2 linked regions of the Ovis aries genome follow. The protein of the gene in region 2 purifies or fractionates together with the protein of the main gene of each other region. This does not show direct contact. Links are inferred from orthologs where the notes say so. Each region holds a gene or a part of one and is shown on either strand. Other genes may lie near its edges.

Evidence for each region. Proteins that work in one complex are often made in the same cells at the same time.
Region 1: the proteins of CDK2 (region 2) and SPDYA purify together in Homo sapiens (affinity purification with western blotting; 7 studies listed by BioGRID). This does not show direct contact. The link is inferred for Ovis aries from reciprocal best matches to the Homo sapiens genes CDK2 and SPDYA.

What each region holds. Positions count from the first base shown.
Region 1 is NC_056056.1:35,729,575-35,733,585, reverse strand, and holds the start of SPDYA (speedy protein A), read right to left. Parts: upstream 2,801-4,011; 5' UTR 1-2,800. UniProt on the Homo sapiens protein: Regulates the G1/S phase transition of the cell cycle by binding and activating CDK1 and CDK2.
Region 2 is NC_056056.1:163,556,693-163,560,693, forward strand, and holds the start of CDK2 (cyclin-dependent kinase 2), read right to left. Parts: upstream 2,801-4,001; 5' UTR 2,680-2,800; coding exon 2,564-2,679; intron 1,842-2,563; coding exon 1,764-1,841; intron 1,647-1,763; coding exon 1,526-1,646; intron 878-1,525; coding exon 707-877; intron 256-706; coding exon 154-255; intron 1-153. Other genes in the region: melanocyte protein PMEL, read left to right, coding at 3,688-3,763. UniProt on the Homo sapiens protein: Serine/threonine-protein kinase involved in the control of the cell cycle; essential for meiosis, but dispensable for mitosis. Phosphorylates CABLES1, CTNNB1, CDK2AP2, ERCC6, NBN, USP37, p53/TP53, NPM1, CDK7, RB1, BRCA2, MYC, NPAT, EZH2.

The DNA.
Region 1 (4,011 bases), about 130 Mb from region 2:
TGAAATGTAGTCTTGCCAAAACAATGATCTAGGAGGTAAGGGAAAAATATTTTATATTCCTTTAATATTTAATTGTAAAGTAAAAATTCTTCAGTTGCACCTGCCACATTTCAACTGTTTAATAAGCACATATGGCTAGTAGCTACCCATATATTAGACAGCACAGGGCTAGATTATGAAGAACTAGGCAGACTAAGTTATATTCAATTACTTTTATATATAATTCCTTCTCCTCTACTTTGCTTCCCTCCTCTCCACTCCTCTCTCCTCCTAGATCCTCATCTGTATCTTCTTTCCCCCAAAAGAAAGAGCAGCTTTACAATCTAGATGGAAAAAAACTAGTCACGCTTCTCACATTGGGGTGTGAGGGCTAGGCTTAGGGAGTGGGAGACAGATGTGCCAGAAAATAGAATAATGGTGGAACTTCTCCCAGGATGTCATTTTTACTTAATGTTAAGTAACTTAAAAAGTGTTGCTTTATTAAAACAACCTGGGATATATGATGAAACAGAATGCAAATTTTCTATCAAAAAAATAATGATCACATTTTACATTATTCTGCCTCATATAAAAATTGAGAAAAGAGAAACAGGAGGCAATTCGTTGAGATTAATAAGAAAACACTGGCAAAAGAGTTATGGAGAAGGAGCTTAAGGAGAGAAGCTATCAATGATACATTTTTGTTCAAAATCCAACTTTAGGTAACTTCAATTTTTGCTCTTCATTTAGACATACTAAGAGAATGGCAAGTCAAATGAGAACTTTTTTTAAGACAGGATTTTATAATTTTTTAAAAATTAATTGAAGGATAATTACTTTATAGAATTTTGTGTCAAACCTCAGCATGAATCAGCCATAGGTATACATATATCCCCTCCTTCTTGAACCTCTCTCCCATCTCCCTCCCCGTCCCACCCCTCTCACCCCTCTAGGTCCCTGTTTGAGTTTCCTGAGACATACAGCAAATTCCCTTTGGCTATTTTACATATGATAATATAAGTTCATGATACTCTCTCTATACATCTCACCCTCTCCTCTCCTCTCCCTATGTCCCTAAGTCTGTTCTCTATGTCTGCTTCTCCATTGCTGCCCTGCAAATAAATTATTTGGTACCACTTTCTAGATTCCATATATGCATTAGTATACGATATTTATCTTTCTCTTTCTGACTGACTTCATTCTTTATAATAAGCTCTAGGTTCATCCACCTCATTAGAACTGACTCAAATGTAGTCCTTTTATGGCTGAGTAATATTCCCTTATGTATATGTACCACAACTTCTTTATCCATTCATCTGTCAATGGACATTTAGGTTGCTTCCATGTTCTAGCTATTGTAAATGAACACTGGGGTACATGTGTCTTTTTCAATTTTGGTTTCCTCAGGGTATATGTCTAGGAAAGAGATTGCTGGGTCATATGGTGGTTTATTCCTAATTTTTAAAGGACTCTCCATACTATATATGACAGGATTTTAAAGTATGACTGAAGGCAAAGGGACAGAACTGGCTGAGAATAAATGTTAAAATACTGGACAAGAGACCTGGATTAAGACCTGATTCTCACCAGTGATATGATCTTAGGTTATTTAACTTCTGGGAGTCTCCCTTTTCTCGCTTGTGATATTGAGATAATAAAAGCACTTATTTTTTTTAGAAGCCGGTACATAGTAAGTATTCATTTAAAGTTACCTATTATCAGGTATTGTTATAATACATATTTTGGAGGGTTAATGAGGAAAGGAACCATATGAATAATGCACAGTGCTGAATGTTTGGCAAAAACTCAACCTATGGCAGCACTATTATTGTATTTTTTTTTTTTTAACAGAAAGTGTCTTTGGAGGAGAGTCCCAATATGACAGATAACCAAATTTCACCTCAACTAATAAACGTAATTTAAATGTTAAGACTTTATTGGTAACAGGCACCATAGGTATATTTTAATGTGCTTACGACAAAGAATAAAGTTTGTAAAGAGACAGGCTCTCAATTACTTCTAAAGTTTTGTTTTGTTTTAATTGAAGCTAGCTGTCCTACAGTCGTACTGGAAATGCTAGGAAAGGACATTTGTAAATTTTGATAAATGGGCTAAGGGCATAGCCCTGAGATACAGCAACTCAGGTCTCAGGATTCTGATGCAGATGCTCCTGGAAAAAAAAGATGCGTTTAATGGGACACAAGAGGCAGGATGAATTAAAAACACTGCTATCCCGCGCTCAGCTGTAAAAAGACCGGCGGGCTGCGGCGAGGCGCGAGCTCTTTCCTAAAGGCCTTCCTTTCCGAAGGGGGAAGCGCCCGCTGAGGAGAGGGCACGAGCCCTTGGGGACACGTCTCCGTTGTCCTCTCCCCCGCCGACTAGTGGGCACAACCAGCTGAGCTGGTGGGCAAAGTGTGGCAAACTCCAACAAACACGGCCGAGGGGAGCGCCCTGCCTCCTCTCTCTACTGCACCGTCGTCCTCCACCCCGCTCCTCCCAGCTCTGCGCAGTCCTACCGCTACGCCTCCGCCTCCCCACCGGCACCTGAGGAAACTCAAGGGCGGAAGTGTGAAGAAGGGGTCGAGACGCCGCCGCCATAGCCTCACACATTTAGGCCGGCGGGGTTGGAGGAAAGACGGGACGGAGGAGCCAGGCACAACCTAAACTGTACAGTCGCCGGCGAAGCCCTAAGCCGGAGAGCGAGCGGCGGGTACCTGCGGAAACCTGAGCCTGGTGAGCGAGGGCCGGACCGGCTGCCAGCCTTTCACAGACGCCCTACGCTTCAGACGGTTACTCGCAGTTCGCTCCACCGCGGCACCGCGGGCCTCGAGACCTCCCGCCAACCCGAGCGAGGCCAACGCAGTCCAATCAGCGCCCGGAGCCCGCCCCTTGAGGCGGGGCTAGCCCGAGGCTGCGCGCGACGCCTGCCGACCTTTTACCGTTACTTTTCCTTGCTTGACCGTGAACTTCCAGATGTTCAAGCTGGTTTTAGAAAAGGCAGAGGAACCAGAGATCAAATTGCCGACATCCTCTGGATCATCGAAAAAGCAAGAAAGTTCCAGAAAAACATCTATTTCTGCTTTGTTGACTATGCCAAATCCTTTGACTGTGTGGATCATCATAAACTGTGGAAAATTCTGAAAGAGATGGGAATACCAGACCACCTGACCTGCCTCTTGAGAAACCTGTATGCAGGTCAGGACATGGAACAATAGACTGGTTCCAAACAGGAAAAGGAGTACGGCAAGGCTGTATATTGTCACCCTGCTTATTTAACTTCTATGCAGAGTACATCATGAGAAACGCTGGGCTGGAAGAAACAGGCTGGAATCAAGATTGCCGGGAGAAATATCAATAACCTCAGATATGCAGATGACACCACTCTTCTGGCAGAAAGTGAAGAGAAACTAAAAAGCCTCTTGATGCAAGTGAAAGAGGAGAGTGAAAAAGTTGGCTTAAAGTTCAACATTCAGAAAACTAAGATCATGGCATCAGGTCCCATCACTTCATGGCAAATAGATGGGGAAACAGTGGAAACTGTCAGACTTGATTTTGGGGGGCTCCAAAATCACTGCAGATGGTGACTGCAGCCATGAAATTAAAAGATGCTTATTCCTTGGAAGGCAATTTATGACCAACCTAGATAGCATATTCAAAAGGAGAGACATTACTTTGCCAACAAAGGTCTAGTCAAGGCTATGGTTTTTCCAGGAGTCATGTATGGATGTGAGAGTTGGACTGTGAAGAAAGCTGAGCGCCGAAGAATTGATGCTTTTGAACTGTGGTGTTGGAAAAGACTCTTGAGAGTCCCTTGGACTGCAAGGAGATCCAACCAGTCCATCCTAAAGGAGATCAGTCCTGGGTTTCTTTGGAAAGACTGACACTAAAGCTGAAACTCCAATACTTTGGCCACTTCATGCAAAGAGTTGACTCATTGGAAAAGACTCTGATGCTGGGAGGGATTGGGGGCAGGAAGGGAACGTGACGACAGAGGATGAGATGGCTGGATGGCATCACCGACTTGATGGACGT
Region 2 (4,001 bases):
AGCCCTCTCCTTTCTCCATGACCCCCTTTGTGCTACTCTAAAGGAAGAACCCTGTGATAAGAGAAGGACCATGGGTCTGGGCCAAGAAACAGTTCTGTTGTTCTTGAGTGTGGGAAGGAGTGGGCTGAGTAGACCATGGGCATGCCTCCATACCATCTCAGCAAAGATGCAACCGAGGCTCCATATGTCCACTGCTGTGGAGTAGTATTTGCAGCCCAGAAGGATTTCCGGTGCTCGGTACCACAGAGTCACCACCTGAGGAAAAGAGTACAGGACATGAAGATATCCACACGTCAGTTTCTAAACACTATTCTGCTAACTCAATTTCTTCACAAGCAACTTCTATCCCTCCATCCTTCCCTTTACTCTCATTGCCCCTAAGTAAAATAACTGGGTACAACTTCTTAGCCCAGAGTTAGCCTAATCCATGGTTCTGGGGAACATATATTCTGAACCCTCAATTTGCAACCTTCTTGGAAAACTTGAGGCAAATGGTCATAATTTTAAATTTCATGCCTTCCACCTGTCTCCTGGCTCGGTATCTATCAATATATGAATTCTGTGCATACTCTAAGACCTCTTGTGGTGTCAGAAATACTTTCCATCTAGTGAGAAACTGCTGGCCAGATCGTTACTAAAAACTCTATGAATGTCCTTGTTAACACCTCCCAGGAAGTTCAGAGAAGACATGCAGAGGAGGACTCACCTCGTGGGTATAAGTACGAACAGGGACCCCAAAAGCTCTGGCTAGTCCGAAGTCTGCTAGCTTGATGGACCCATCTGCGTTGATAAGCAGATTCTGAGGTTTAAGGTCTCGGTGCAGGACCCGATGAGAGTGGCAGAAAGCTAGGCCCTGGAGCAGCTGGAACAAGTAGCTCTGACAAGGGGAAAGAAAAGACTCTGTTTTTCCACCACCGTGAGCAGATTAGGGTCTCCTCTGTAACTCCAAAGTTCTACTAAAGCCTTTACTAGTTAAATTGTAATTATGTTTTCAAGCTATTTCTCCAGTTGGACTGTCAACCCATTGAGGATAAGATCAGGTCTCATTCAGTTTTGCATTTATGTTCCATAGCGTGGACCAGCACATTGAAAGTGTTCAATAAATGTGTGTTGGATGTTTGTTGGTTGATCGAAAGTAGCTTCCGGAGTAAGGAACCCAGAAAAATGGACAACAGAGACTCACTGGCTATTTCTCCCACCAAACAGGTGGAAGGGCTTTCTGGAGGCATCTACCAAGTACCCCCCAGTCCCATTTATCCGAGTTTCATCTCAAGAACCTTCCACCTGAGCTGCTAAGTTGACTTACTAGAGTTTCAACTTCTTTGATTCCCCTGCCCAGCCCTAGGGTTAAAAGCATAATGAGCAGTGAAAGAGCCACAAGAAAAGGTGTGTGCGTGTGTGTGTGTAGGGGGGTGAGGGCTGGGAAGGAAACCAAGATAAATCAACACTCAGTCCGGATTGCCTGCTTTCAGTCCGGACTCCCAAAACATGCCCATGTTGGGGAGGAGTTGATGAGAAGGAGTACCTTTATGAGCGGAAGAGGAATGCCAGTGAGTGCAGAGGCATCCATGAATTTCTTGAGATCCTGGTGCAGAAACTCAAAAACAAGGTAGAGTTTGTTTTCTGTGTGAATGACATCCAGCAGCCTAGGGAAGGGGGAGGTCCAGGAATACACGTGAGGGAGAGAAAGGCCCAGACAATACAAACAGAAGACATTCTCCTTTACTGTCAGAGCACCTCCCACCTCCCAGATACATACTTACTTGACAATATTAGGGTGATTAAGCTCCTTAAGCAGAGAGATCTCTCGTATGGCAGTACTGGGTACACCCTCTGTCTCACTTGGAGAAGTTGAGAAAGCAGAGATGGGAATGTGGTTACAAATATTTCTTTTCCCTCAGCAGTACAGTCATTCCCCCCACCCCACCCACAGCCCCCACCAACCCAGCATCCCCTAATTAAGTGAGAGAAAGGGTGCTTCAGTGGTTAAATCATGGATGGACAGGAGTGTCTTTTTAGACCCATTAAGATCATCATATCTTCTTTGCCCAGGGCTGGGTTAGCAAAGCCTCTTGGTGAAGTTAAAAGGGGGAAAAGTGTGTGTGTGTGGAAGTAACAACACCCAGCCTCTCTAGAGGTGCCAGTAAGGTTCAACTGCCATTCTTTTGAAAGAGAGAATTCTAAGATGCGGGTGGGGTTGGGGCACTGAGGGCTGGTCTAGTCATTTATAAGGGTGCTCTTTACCACTTATCACAAAACCCATCTCCTCGTCGGGGAGTCCTGGATCCCATCTCAAAAGGCTCCTTCCTCTTCCTGACACTTTCTGACTGTACATTTGGGGACATCGCCCGCCTCTGGGGAGGAAATTTCCCATGGATTCTACACTATCCTATAGTCTCCACCGGGAAACCCTCTACTCGTCCTTCAACCCACCTCTCCACTTCAAAAGACTTCCCTCCCTGCTACCTTCCGGTCCCTGGAAGGCTACCCGCCTGTTGCGGTGGGGGTGGGGGGCACTCAAGGAGCTCCCGAGTCAGGACTCCCGGGTACAGAGGCCACTCACGTGTCCAGGCGGATTTTTTTAAGCGCCACCACTTCTCCCGTCAACTTGTTTTTGGCTTTGTACACAACTCCGTACGTGCCCTCTCCGATCTTTTCCACTTTTTGGAAGTTCTCCATGAAGCGCTAGCGAGTCGGGTCAGCCCGGCCCTGGAGCTGGGGCCTGGGAACCTGCAAAAAACGGCACCCAGCTCTCGGGGGCCGAGGAGGGAAACAGGGCCCAGCACCGCGACCCGAGGTCGGGATGGAACGTAGTGTATCTCTCGCTCTTGTCAATTTGTCCAACTTGAAACAATATTGCCGCCTCCCCCCTCTAGTTCCCTACCGCCACCAGAAGCCCCGCCTCTCCTTCCCGCGTTTCCCTGGCTCCTCCCTCAGATCTTCCTATTGGTCTACGTCAGAGAGGGCGGGGCCAGCCCTGTGTCCCTCGCTGCAAACGACCCCACCCCGAGTAACTTTGGTTCCGAGGAGTATTAAGGATAAATTTTTATCTGGATGGGGAGGCTGAACACCTTTTTCCAAGTATCTGATTTGGGATCGAGTTTTCTCTCTGTGTCCTGAGTCTATAGGGATTTCCTGATCTCTAATCACCGTTTTCACCACCCTAAGGAAAATATGTATTAAATTCCACCTCGCCCTGGAGCCTCCTCTGAAAGCAGGAAACTGGAAATCTCATTGTAAGGGTTTCCTAGGGCTCCGAAGAGTCGTTGTCCCACTTCTCTCAGCCTACCCCAATACTGTCTGTTTTTGGACCCAGGGTCGCTGCTTCTACAGTTATTTTGAGAGGTTCCTGGTTTGACTCACAATAGATTGATCCACTCTCCAATGATGAACCCTGTGCGTCCGGTACGTGTTATGTTTTGTAGCTGCCCTTCAGTCATTTTTTCCCCGCGAGGGGAGATGGAGTACTTTAAGATGAGACTGACCCTGTGAAGCCAGAAACTGTCAATGAGTAGCATGATGTCCAGGGACCAGGATCCCTCCTCTGTTCTGTCTCTCAGATCCTTCTGCTCCTCCCAGGATTTGCCTGGAGGGAGGGGAGGAAGGGCTATGCAAATAAGCACCCCCTTCTTATACAGGGGTTTGTCCAATGCCCCAGAGTCTTTGGTTGCTGGAAGGAAGAACAGGATGGATCTGGTGCTGAGAAAATACCTTCTCCATGTGGCTCTGATGGGTGTTCTTCTGGCTGTAGGGGCCACAGAAGGTGAGTGTGGGATGTGTGGACATGAACAAGTGTGAGTTTAGGGTTACACACCTGCTCTGGTTTTTCTCTCCCTAAAGTGGAAGATAGCAGCAGTGCTTCAGGTGTTTCTCATCCATTTGATTTAGTGAGGACATGGGCAACTGAGCTCCCTCCCCACATGAAGATTTGGGTGCATATGTGTTCAGGCACTTGGGACTGAACCTGAAAACAACCCCATCTACCTGGACGGGTGAGAGAA